Arabidopsis thaliana: one gene and its partner. The protein of the gene in region 1 purifies or fractionates together with the protein of each later gene. This does not show direct contact. Each region holds a gene or a part of one and is shown on either strand. Other genes may lie near its edges.

Region 1 (6,971 bases):
AGGTCATTTAATTGTTATAATTACCCTCTTTTGTTAGAGACTATTTGTTATTACTATCGAAAATTGTAATAATACCTTTACTATAGTTGAATGATCATTTGGTTTTGTATTCGAGAAATCTTCAAAGTCATCTTCTGCATCCAACCAATGGGAATCTCCAGTGGCATCTTCCACCCTCCTGCTTAATTTCTCGTACTCCCTCTTAATGTTGATACAAAAACATAATTTCAAGAAAATTCCTAATAATTAATACGAAAATTTGGAACAATTAATATCAAAAGCTAAGAACAAATTTTGATCTTCGTCCCAATTGTTTTAAACGCAAAAATCTGATTGTGCTAATTAATTGATTTTGTTTTTCTTTATCTTTCTATAAATCACAGCATTGTCATAATGTTTTAAAGAACACAAATTCGAAACATCAACGATTTCTTCTACTTTACCTTCTACAATTTACAAATAATGTTTGATTGAAAATAAATTATGTGTTCTTCTTGAAAGTAAACGAAATCATTTAATTTGTAAACACAATTGCAAAATTAAACTCATACGCCGAAAAAACAATTAAACCCTTTAATTTACCTTGGTTATTTCCCAGTCTTTACTGAATTCAGAACTTTCTGTTGCGGCTGGAGGGTTCAAAAAATATCTAAAAGGAGCTCTAACTTTAATGTTATATTTTTTGCAGAAGGGAACCCAAATCTTGGCGAACTTAGAAGCTTCCTTGAGAGAGAAGTAAGTGAGAGGTGAGCATCCATCATCCGATACATAACAAGCAAGTTTATTCGCTGGATAATTCACTGCTAACAGCGAAAGCAACGTGTTTGCTACAAGAATCGGCGGCTCCCGAACAGGATCCGCAGTAGTCACAAACATATCTACCGATGGAAGGTCATGAACCCTGAAATTATTTAATTACTAAGAGTCTTATATTTTCAAATTTTTACTAGCTAGTCCACTAAAATAGAAAGATAACAGAAAAAAATGAATGATATTTCGTGAGGAAAAAAAAACTTAAGAGTTAGGTTTCAGCTAGCTAGGACTTAGGTTTTATACAAAATTAAAAGAACATATGCTTTTAATATGCATGATTGTATATATAATTGTAAGTGTAATATAAATTGATACCTTTCATCAAGTCTTTCAGGATATGATTTATATGAAGCAGGACTCCATTTTATGCTGGTAATAAGAAGCCATATGAAAGAGAAAAAGGATTCACAGAGGAAAGCCACAACCCAAACGGAGTTGTTTTGGTTCATAAGTAGAATTCGGTACAAGAGAAGAGAAAAGAGAAAGCCTAGAATCGTGAGATCCACAACTCTTAGAAAATAGTTTTTGTATGAGATCTTCTCGCAAAGAGGAGGGAGAGAAGAACTTGAATCTGCCATGGGAGGAGATTTCTTGTGAGCTTTCTTGCGGTTTTTGGATATGTTTATATAGGGTTAAGTAAAATAATGCGTCGTCACGTCTATGAATGCTTGTATATATAAAATATAGGACCGATTGGCCACACAAAATCGTATAAGTTTTTTAGCAAGTAGAAAAAACGGTAAGAGATACAAAAATAGTTTAAAAACGATATAAAGTAGCGGTACGAAAGAAAAAAAAATCATAAAACTTAAAATATCGTTTTTAGTAGCATCCTTTGATTGATTATTATCAAAGCAATATACTCCATACTACAGCGGTATTGGATACCAATCAACCCATAATGTGTAGTAGTGTTTAGTTAGGAAGAAAAAAAAAGATACACAAGAGAAAGGACAATAATAAATTAGTCATAGTCAAATTCCATTGGACTAGTTTGTCAAATAGATACATGACTTCACAAATGGTGTATGTACTACATATTATTTTTTTGTAAAACGTATTGTATGTCTAGATTATACATTGTGGTAAATAAATATAGATTTGTAGAATGGAGGCCAAAATATACACAGAAATTGGAATTTGAACTTATAGATGTTTAGCACTAGACTGATACTATATATTAAGTTACACCCTATCAAAACTTTTTCAACGAAAATAAGTCTCATTAAATTCGATCGTTTCTCTAAACATTATTAATGATCCACTAAGCTACATATATACATTTTTGCATGATGTGTCTCGCTGTATGTATATCTTTGTCTATTTGTGGTGGCTATTTTGTGGTTTGGTTCAAATTAGGATAACGATAAAGTTTGTCTTTTTATTCCGTTTGCTCTTGTGGTGAATGATGAGTAGTCGTCACGCAAATTAAAGTCACGTACGTAACATTTTTTTGTTGTTGTTGAAGAACGTTTCTTTATCATTGTTATACAACAAAAATTTAAAATTATTATAGAAAGCGAAATCAATAACTTGCCTTTATTTCCTCGCATCGCCATTTTGGGAATTGAAAAGAAACGTGATGAACTCTTTCATTTATCCCAATTGAGATGTGGCTATATATGCCCTTTGATACATGCACTATACCTTTTAAATTCAAATTCATGGAACTAATCATATGTATATAAAGTTAATACGTATCACATATGACATCTCTTGGTAGATATTTTGTGATTGATTTTTGTTCCGATATCACTTATCTAGATATTGGCTTCGTAAGCCCTATATATCTCTTATTTTCAAAAACTTAACGTCCATATATATACACATAATACAGTACTGTGTATGTGTATATATATGGACGTTAAGTTTGGGTTTTGAAGTCAACTAGTTGACTTTAAAACCCAAAATACTATAGAAAGGACGAAATCATTGAGTCATTTTCATGAAATCGAGAAACCACGAATCTTACAAAAACAAAATCAAGCTGGTCCTGTCATGGTTACAAAATCCACAAAAAAAATAATTTCTTATATTGATATAAGCTAATAATTGGGAGAAAAGAGACAACGCCGTAGCAGAGGCGATGCTGGCTTTTTGGATATTACCAAACTACTATTTACGTATTATCGTCGTCGCAAATACAAATACAAATACAAAAAAGGACTTGATTATTTGGGCCTAATGGCCCATATATTTTTAAAAATATACCGGGCCCAGATTCACACTCACAGATACGTCGTCGTTTTTGTGTCGTTTGGGGTTGACTCTGAAGAATTTCTTTCCTCACAAGACACAAAAACAATGTTAAGTACACTAGTGTCATCCTCATCCAGATTCTTCTCTTCTTCAATCGGAAAAACTTCTTCGCTCTATAGATCCTCGATTCCTTCGTTTTCTCGCTTATCAGTGCGATCAATGGCGGATTCAGCTTTCAGGAAAATTCAGATCCAAAGAGATGACACTGTAAGAGCTTCTCTTTTTTGTCTCTCCCTGAGTTTTTTTTCTACTTAGTGCCATTTTTATGGTTGTGTTTGGTGTATCATAAGCTTCGACTGTATCCGTAGTGCCTGATTTTGAAGTAAAAAAAAATTTTGGTTATCCTTTCCGTTGAATGAAAATCATCATTTCTTTTGATATCCCCCAAATCTCGGAATCTGTTGTGTATGATGTATGGATTATATTTGATTTATCATTTCAATGGCGTTTCTGCTTCAGGATTGTGTAGTGTTGTTCTGTGGTAGAGAAACTGGGAATGAGAGTAAGAGATGTTATTATTGCTTAGCTACTTCTGAAGATCTCCGTATAATCATAGTCCTTATCAGGTTTGGTTATAGAACTGGTTGATTTAAGAAGGAAGATTGTGAGTTTAGGTTTCAGTTCACAAATGATCAGTATAGTGATAAACAGTTTAGGTATTGTTTTGGTCAGAGTTTTCGGCGATGTTATGCTTTGCTTGTAACTCTCTCCATGGATAGACTGGTTTCTCTTGAACATTGGAGTTTCTTGATTATTAGGATTGTGAAAAATGCATTTGATTTAGCTATTTTTTTGTGTATGATTCTTCTATAATCTTGATTTTACTCTAAAGAAAACTTATACACTGTGGTCTGTTGGTTAGACATTTGATGCCTATGTGGTCGGTAAAGATGATGCGCCTGGGATTGTGGTGATTCAAGAATGGTGGGGTGTTGACTTTGAGATCAAGAACCATGCTATTAAAATCTCACAACTTGAGCCTGGATTCAAAGCCCTTATACCTGAGTGAGTGCTTCTTTAACTGCAAGATTCAGTTTTGTAAATTATGGTTCATTGAGTATCGTCTCACAATATTATATTTTGTAGCTTGTATCGAGGAAAGGTTGGTTTGGATACTGCAGAGGCACAGCATCTAATGGATGGCCTTGATTGGCCAGGTGCTATCAAAGATATCCGCGCTTCTGTTAATTGGCTAAAATCCAATGGCTCAAAAAAGGTGCTAAACTTAAACAAAGTTCTTTCAGTTCGCATAAAATTCTTGAGGAAAATGCAGATGAATTATAATTGTTGTGACAGGTTGGTGTCACTGGAATGTGCATGGGAGGTGCATTAGCTATAGCTAGCTCTGTATTGGTTCCTGAGGTGGATGCTGTTGTTGGATTCTATGGAACCCCTTCCTCAGAGCTCGCAGATCCAGCACAAGCTAAGGCACCTATTCAGGCTCATTTTGGAGAGCTCGACAATTTTGTCGGTTTTTCTGATGTCACGGTATGTGTATATACACTACACTACATCTCAACTTTTCTGAAATTGACATGAGATCCCATCATGAATTATTACAAACCTTTGCAGGCAGCAAAGAATCTCGAAGAGAAGCTGAAAGCGTCTGGAGTAGCACATGAAGTTCACATCTATCCAGGTAATGGACACGCGTTCTTGAACAGGAGTCCAGAAGGAGTGAGCAGAAGGAAAAGCATGGGACTTTCTGATGAAGATGAAGCCGCAGTGGAGCTTGCTTGGTCTCGCTTCACCTCCTGGATGAAACAGTACTTGGCTTAAGCTTTCTTCCATCAGGCAGCAATGGTTGATGTAAGTCCCAAAACGTTGTGTGATGCCCAATCATCTTTAAATAAGGACATTGCTCTTAGAACTTTTAATCTGAACCAAATAAAGAGGTTTGTTTACTTGTGAATCAGTATTGAGTGGAAATGTTCGAAGCCTTTTTTGTAAATTAGGACTAATATCGATGTGTCTCGTCTTTTTGTAATTGTAATGAGTTCAATCCCGGAAACTAGGAAATGATAGTGTACATGTAGTAAAACTGAATTACTGCCAAGTCTGTTATATCAGCTTATAAGTACTCAATTGTGAATACATCAAAGACATTCTCCTAGCAAGGCGTTTCCGCTTAGGCTGCACACGTCGGCTCTCTCAATGGTCTCCCATGCTTAGCAAACTCATGTAATCACAAGTTTCTTTGTAATAGTTATCTAAGGCTTTTTTAAAAAATTTGGTCTTAGAAGCTCCTTGCCCCAAGCTTTTGTAAATAAACATGTTCCTTTTGGTAATATAATTCACATTTTATCAAAAAAAAATAAAAAAAAATATGAATACATCTTAATCAGGGGGGAAATCTATTTAATTTATAGGACAATGTGAACTCAATTTAAGCCAATGGTAGCTCCTCTTATCATATCAACAAGAATGCGAAAATGATAGGATAACAGATTGTCTTCCTGTCAAAATAGCACGTTTTCCAGCATTGTCTACGTACAGTACTTTTGTTTTGTTTGTCGGCAAAAAGTATTTGTAAAAAGTATGTATTAATGTACGTAGTATTAGAGCCTCCTCTAAAGTCTTAAATAAAGTATAAAGGATTTGAAGGGTAACCATTATTATAGTTGTACAGCTTTGACGGTTATTAATCACAAAACTTTATAAAAAACGTTACTAAACATTTTATTTTTCTTTTTTTTTGTAAGACTTTCTCATACAGTTTTTTTTGTACATTTTTGCATTATTCCAAAAAAAATATACATTTCCAGTTGACAGCTAAAATTTTTGTACAACATAAGTTTTTATAGATAGTTTAATTCATTCAGGTTTTATAAACATATAGATTTCAACATTAATATAATAAAAAAACTAATTAAAAACTATGTCTAAAAGTAGAAAACTAAAAAAAAAACAGGGAAAGGACACCATATGGAATATAACTCGAGGATAGACATACGGATTAATACATCCAACTTATATGAAATGAGATTAAATGTATTGTTAGGATTCACCAAAAAAATTAGATTTGTATATATGTTATGTAATTAGTATATGCCATGGATATATCATACCTTTCTAACTAATTTTAGTTATGATTTTAGATACTGAATGATTAACATAATTCATGTTCAAAAAAGCTACTGAATTTGGGCATATACATAATAAGCTCTTACTTTCGAATCACACAAATGCTTTCAATTATATTTCATTCCTTTACTAATTGGAACCTAAATATTAAACAAAAACAAAAGTACATGAGAAACAGAATTAAATAGTAACCACGTTTTCTTTGATAAAACAAGATAGATCTTGTGCTGATCTTGTTTAGAAGTGTAGTGTCGGTTAGCAACTAGAAGCGGCTAAACACTTCCCAAGCTGTGTTCACATTTTCTCACCAACATAAGAAATACGTCATTCAGTTTTGCTCCAATATCTTTCTTTTGTATATCACATGCCGACAAATGATACCAAGCTAATATCAAATCAACCGACAAATTGTGATTCTGTATAATTACTAAATTAGTAACCCATAAAACGTGCATGAGGTAAAGGAACCACGCGATTCATGGCCAATGGCAAGTGAGACAAAAACAAATTTGTTGAAATAATTAATATAAAAAAAGTGAGAACAAATTTGATGATATGATATATTTTGGACTATTTTATTCACTGATTAAACATCCGTTGCAAATAGAGAACACTTAAAAGATTAGACAAAAAAAAATCTACCATAAAGAACATTAAACCCATAAAAAGGTAAATTTTGATACTCCAACGTTTGGAGCAGTAAAATCTAGAACAAAAATGGAGATCAACTTTGATCACCGTAGATATCCACATAAAACTACCCTCATTAAACTCTCATATGGAAATGTGGTTATACGATGAGTTATGTTTCCTTG
Region 2 (6,185 bases), on another chromosome or scaffold:
AAAGTTTGAATCTTTTTAACAGTTGTCCACTTTCAGTTTCCTCTGATGGTGAATTTGATTTGAGAGGTACTGAGGTAGTTTGTGAAACTCAGATAGAGGAATTGTTTATGTAGAAAAGTAAGGTATACAGATGATGATCATTGGAGGGATGTTCAGAGATTGAACTCGTCCGTTTATTAATGATCAAACAGTACAACAAAGCTTGGAATCAATAGAAGCCAAGCAAATGCAGAATGCTTGGTAGCCTGAGAATGGATACCTGCAAACAGATAAAGCAAAAGACTTTTAGATGATAAAGCCTTTAATCCTAAGCTTATAAGTATGTTTATGTTTGGCTCATTCTGGTTTGAGCAAGTAGTACCTGAAGTCGATTACATATCTTGCTTTGTCAACTCTCCCCATTTGAAGAATTGTCTGCCTTGGAGTCTCCTGCTTATACCAAATTACACAATGTTTAGGATTCTTGAGATTGGTTTTTGATCAAAGCTTTAAAGTTGTGGAAATGCACCGTGAGTGTTAGCTGAAAGTTCTTCACCGAGCTCTGTATTCTCAGTCCTGTTCTTCCTCTGTCTCTGAAGTCTAACTCATGCTGCTTGGAGATCTAAAGAAAGGGGAAGACACAATGAATTTCATGCTTTACAAAATCAACAATGATGCCCGGTGAGACTTACTTTGTTGTAATGTGGTATCCTTGAGCATAGCTTCTGAATTTTTTCCTTATTCTCAAGCCAATCAAGCGGTAGTTTACTAGCTTGTTGAACCTATAAGGAGATACATACATACGTGTATTAACAGTTTTATGTTTTCGGAATGCAAGATTGATGGAGAGAAGTTTAAGATTAGGCATTTACCTGCTTATTGTTGTTTTTCTGCATTGGCTGCTGCTTTGGTAGCAAAGTTCTCATTCTTCTGTAGCTCCCTGTCCAAGTTGTTATGGTGGGTGTGAATCTGCAGAAGCCAACAGATGCATAAGCAAACCCAAAACTAAGGCAGAGGCAAATTCATCAAAAAACACGGCATTCAAAATCCTCAACGCTTACATTACAACCGAAAGAAGCGGCTTCACCATTTTACCTACAGAACCAACTCGAACTCCCTGCAATGGAATCAAAAGACCAGAAACATTCATACTCGATTTCCAACCTATAAGCAGAACCAACACCGTTACATTGAGCTTGAATTTCTGACCTTGTCCCATATGTAGTACTTGGAACCCAAGAGATTAGCCGTCATGGAACCGACATAACTTTCATCCGAACTGCACAGCAATCCCTTAACATTCTGTGCCACCCTAAATATAGATTTCCCATTACGTCGGCTATGGTAAGCAACTGCTAACTTCCGGTCTTTACGCCCCCGACCTTCCTGAGATATCAGAAACATTGATATCACTACATCTCAATTCTCACTCAGCATCATGGTAAATCGAATATCTATATACTTACATGTGTATAAAGTGAATATACAGATCCGTGGCTCAAGCCTTCAGGTGATTGTTCTTTCACAATCAGACAAGTGCATCTTCCCACATCCAAAGGTAGTGTCTTGCACAACAAAGCCCTGTTTAACAAGTATATACATAGTTTCAGACATGTTTAGAACAATGAAAGCACAAGAATCTTGGTAATAGCCGTGTTTTTACCTGTTGGGCAAAGTAGACCAAGAGGAAGCAGGGGCAGCTTCAGAATCCGAAAACTCCCACACTTTCAACGAACTTGAATGCTCTGAATCAACACTAGTCCAAGTTTTCATTCCGAAACTACTCTTATCAACCTCACTGTTCTTCTGCATACACGCTTGCAGTGATGACTGCTTCAGAGCTGTTCGACCACCAGTTGAGAAAGATTTGAAATTTGTAACTTCCGTTGGAAACCCAGAGTTACCCTTCATCGATTGAGACTTCAAAGCTCGATCTAGTTTCCGAGTTTCCACAGAGGTAGAGACTTTCTCCGGCGACACATTCTCCTTATCCTCTCCCTTTTGAGTGGATAAAGACCCTGTAATTGTGTCCACATTTCCCTTATTTTCCTCCAACAAATCATTCACTTTTCTCGAACCAGCCATGTTTTTTTTCCCTTTCTGGATGGATTGCTTTCAAGTATCAAGTTTAGAACTTTCTGGGAGCTAAGTTTATATCTTTATAGATTTTGAAGACATGAATCTAGAAACAGGTGTTTGACAATGGTACTGAGTTGAAAGTAACGTTTTTATAAAGTCCCACAGTGTTTCCATTTGAATTTGAATAGCCATTGGGGATTGTGCGAGCACAGAACCAAAGACACAGATGGACTTTTCTTTTCTTGTCTTAAACACAAAGGTTTTTTAGATGTCTGCGTTTGGTTTTTGCCCTTTTTCTACTTTCTACGGACCCAACGGTCAATACACGATAGTGGGATTTTGATTAATATTTTGTCGTTTTCCTTTGTCGGGAAACTGAAAGGTTGATGATTGGATTGAGGTTTAGCGGGAACTGTGTTTCAAACACTCAAACACTTAAAGTATCAACAACCTGCCGTTTTTTATATTTATCAACGTCATGCCGTTTTATCTTCGTGAGTCATCCAAAACCGATAAGCCAGAGCCTCAAACCATCGAGTGGCTGTTAAACCATACTGTTCAAATTAGTCCAACCAAAACCATGAGAGGCCACAACATCGTCGAAGCCCATTATTATCACCATGGCTAAAGCCAGTAGTACTCTGTTTGCTGTTTCCTGCTCCGCTTCAGCTCGTTTCTCTTTCCTCCGACGCTCTGAATCTCTTAAACCCTCAGTTTCAAGAGCGAGATTCGCCGTTCCAATGGCTATGGCCGCCGCGTCAGCTGCCACCGCTAAAAAACTAGCGCCTGCTGTGATTGTGGGTGGCGGAAGAGTCGGAAGGGCGTTACAGGAAATGGGTAATGGCGAGGATTTGTTGGTGAAGAGAGGAGAAGCAGTTCCGGTTGATTTTGAAGGACCCATTTTGGTTTGTACAAGAAATGATGATCTCGATGCTGTTCTTGAAGCTACTCCTCAGTCTAGATGGAAAGGTAGAAACTTTCATAGGCCCTAAGAATCATTAGTGAGCCAAATTGTTAGATGTTTTAGGGCGTTTGATCATCGCAGAGCACAATTCAAATGATCAGATTATCAAATTTTGATTGTTTCTTCAGTTTATGACTTGGTATAGTAAAAACGTTGTGTGTAATTAATCAGATTTGGTCTTCTTCCAAAATGGAATGATGGAGCCGTGGTTTGAGAGCAAAGGTTTGGGTGATACAGACCAAGTGTTGGCCTATTTTGCTGTGTCAAAGCTCGGCGAGCCTCCCGTGGATGGAAAGACTGACACTAACCCAGAAGGTCTTACTGCTGCTTATGGAAAATGGGCTTCAGAGATAGCTGCAAGATTGCAATCTGGTGGCCTCTCTTGCAAGGTTACAAGAAGCAAATCTTTGTTTTATGATAACGCAGAAGCTGCATGGATATACTAAATGTGTTCTTTTGTCGGTGTTTCTGTGGTTAGGTACTTGACAAAGAAGCTTTTCAGAAGCAAATGTTGGAGAAACTCATTTGGATTTGTGCATTTATGCTTGTTGGAGCTCGTCATCCAGGTGCAAGTGTTGGCACGGTGGAGAAAGAATACAGAGATGAAGTACCGAAATTCCATTCCTCGTTTCGTTTTAGCATTCAAAATCGTTGTTTAGTGCTAATTACTTATACATTCAGGTGTCGAGACTCATCCAAGAACTTGCAGCAGCTGCTGCCGCGGAAAAAGGACTAACCTTTGAAGAGAACATGGTGGAAAGACTATGTGCTTATTCACGAGCTGTTTCTCATTTCCCAACTGCTGTTAAAGAAGTACATATATCACTTTTATCATCCTTGATCTCTCTCTTTCAATGCATGTGCATGTGCATCAGTATCTGTTTCACAACTAGTTTTCTGATTATTGCAGTTTAAATGGAGGAATGGTTGGTTTTATTCACTCTCAGAGAAGGCGATTGCGGAAGGGCAACCGGATCCGTGTCCCCTCCATACCGAATGGCTGAAAGAGCTTAAAGTGATATAGAGCCAGTCTTTCTAAATTGTGAGTATCTGGATTAAGTATCATTCTTACATATTTTAAGTAGATGATCTGAAACTAGTGTCAACTGTGTACACGCCTGAGAAGTGAAAAAAAGATGTAATTTTTTAATAAAGAAAGAGAATCAGTTCACGCTTTGTAAAATGTCCAGACTTTTATATGTGTAAACTTGTGCATTTTCAAGAATCAAAACTTTTCTGCTTCTAGACTCCCATCAATTAGGGAAGACTAGAATCTTCAATAATAAACAAATTATGACAGATACCTATGTAGACTCTTTGGAATCATCAATAGTTGACAAAGTAAGAGGCAGGATCGTCCACGCTTGTTTGAATTTTCAGCCTTTGCAGGCAAGGTGGTCCAAGTAGGCAACTGTGGTTTCTTCGGTTAGTTACTATATAACACATAATTCTATATTAGCTTTAGCTTTAGCTTCACATAACATAACTCAGTTTTCTACAAAGAAAAAAAAACAGAGCATAATGAGCAGAGAGAAGTTTTCCATATATAACTTGCTCTCTCTTCTGGTTCTGCTGATCCATGGTTTGATTGCAGCATCTGCTCAAGATCTCACTGTCTTCAGTTCTTGTCAAAGCCATTGCGGGGGAATAGCGATTCCTTATCCCTTTGGAATTGGTAAAGATTGCTATCTCAACAACAATGAGTGGTATGAAGTTATCTGTAACCGAACCTCAGGAAACCCTCTGCCAGTTCTTAAGAGTATCAACAGAGAACTGGTGAATATCTCTCTCCCGGACGACTCAAGCGATGTCTTTGGGCTAACCCGAATCAAGAATCCGGTAACTTCTTTAGGCTGTTCCAATATGGAAGAAATCAGCTTGGCTTTGAATGTGACCGGGAGCCCATTCTTCCTCACCGGCCGTAATACTTTAGTAGCAGTTGGCTGTAACAACAATGCCTCGATGACTGATGATAAGCTGCAGATTGGAGGATGCGAGTCTACCTGCGACGTGGGGTTTGGTCAGAGAGGACGGAACAGAAGCTGCAACGGCTATAGATGTTGCCAAGCGAAGATACTCTCTGACCGTCTGCAACAGATTGGCATCAAGATAGAGAGTCTTGATGGTAACACAACGAAATAAGCTGGGTGCAGAGTTGCTTTCTTGACAGACGAGGCATATTCTCCTTTAAATATAACCGAACCAGCTTTGTTTTACGATAAGGGATATGGAACGGTGGAGTTAGGTTGGTTCATAGATAGGTTACACAATATGTCCGTTGTACTGGGGTTTGCTATTCAATTACCGAGGGTACAAGCGGTTGGAGTTACAGTAACTATGAAGCTTGCATATGTAGATATGGTAAGTATTTAGAGCGAAGCTATAGAAGCTGCAGGTGTAACAGTGGCTACAGAGGCAATCCATATCTCTCGAGTGGATGTACAGGTAAACTAACATTTTCTGGTATAACTTTGCGTTAGTTTCTGTAAGCTCCATGAATCATTGATGCATTCTTCGCCTAAGTAGATATTGATGAGTGTGAAGAAGCCAAAGCTGAAGGAAGCAACCATTGTGGGAAAGGGTATGATTGTGAGAATATCCCAGGAAACTTTAGGTGTAAATCCAACAAAAACAAAAGACTAGCCATCATTCTTGGTAAGCTACCGATCATCTGCGATATGTCATCATGGATAGCAATAAAACGGATTTGGCTTTAAATGTGTTTCTTTTGTGTTGGGTAGGTATTAGTCTAGGCTTTGGCTTGTTGGTAGCCATTGGAGCATGGTGGTTGTATAAGTTTATCAGAAAGCAAAGGGAGATAAAGCGGAAGAAGTTCTCTAAGCTTAATGGAGGACTATTGATGCAACAACAATTGGTTTCTAACGAAGGCAACATTGAGAATACAAGAGTATTCAGCTCGAAAGAATTGGAGAGAGCCACAGAAAACAAGAGTATTGCAACATAGAAGATCCTTGGAACGTTTGTACTGATTCTTCCTCCAACATCACCACCACATCTTCATTTGGTCGAAACATTGTGACCATCAGAGACCACTAGATGTAACCGTATCATTTGAAATTTTGGTGTTATTCGATTTGTTTAGTTGTATGTATTTTGTTTTATCCGGTTTGGAGAATGTTATATTGAATAATAAGAACCACAA

The links.
Region 2: the proteins of AT2G32520 (region 1) and AT1G16080 fractionate together in Arabidopsis thaliana (co-fractionation; one large-scale study listed by BioGRID). This does not show direct contact.

The regions. Positions count from the first base shown.
Region 1 is NC_003071.7:13,803,703-13,810,673, reverse strand, and holds AT2G32520 (alpha/beta-Hydrolases superfamily protein), read left to right. Parts: upstream 1-2,963; 5' UTR 2,964-2,997; coding exon 2,998-3,279; intron 3,280-3,358; exon of another isoform or gene 3,359-3,568; coding exon of another isoform or gene 3,569-3,574; intron 3,575-3,934; coding exon 3,935-4,077; intron 4,078-4,158; coding exon 4,159-4,288; intron 4,289-4,368; coding exon 4,369-4,560; intron 4,561-4,644; coding exon 4,645-4,851; 3' UTR 4,852-5,385; downstream 5,386-6,971. Other genes in the region: CSLB03 (cellulose synthase-like B3), read right to left, coding at 76-201, 583-901, 1,129-1,391.
Region 2 is NC_003070.9:5,511,716-5,517,900, forward strand, and holds AT1G16080 (nuclear protein), read left to right. Parts: upstream 1-2,546; 5' UTR 2,547-2,678; coding exon 2,679-3,027; intron 3,028-3,193; coding exon 3,194-3,411; intron 3,412-3,500; coding exon 3,501-3,629; intron 3,630-3,703; coding exon 3,704-3,835; intron 3,836-3,932; coding exon 3,933-4,046; 3' UTR 4,047-4,312; downstream 4,313-6,185. Other genes in the region: TLP8 (tubby like protein 8), read right to left, coding at 184-259, 362-429, 509-601, 672-761, 852-948, 1,041-1,096, 1,189-1,365, 1,446-1,560 and 1 more; WAKL7 (wall associated kinase-like 7), read left to right, coding at 4,544-5,147, 5,193-5,353, 5,396-5,467, 5,549-5,665.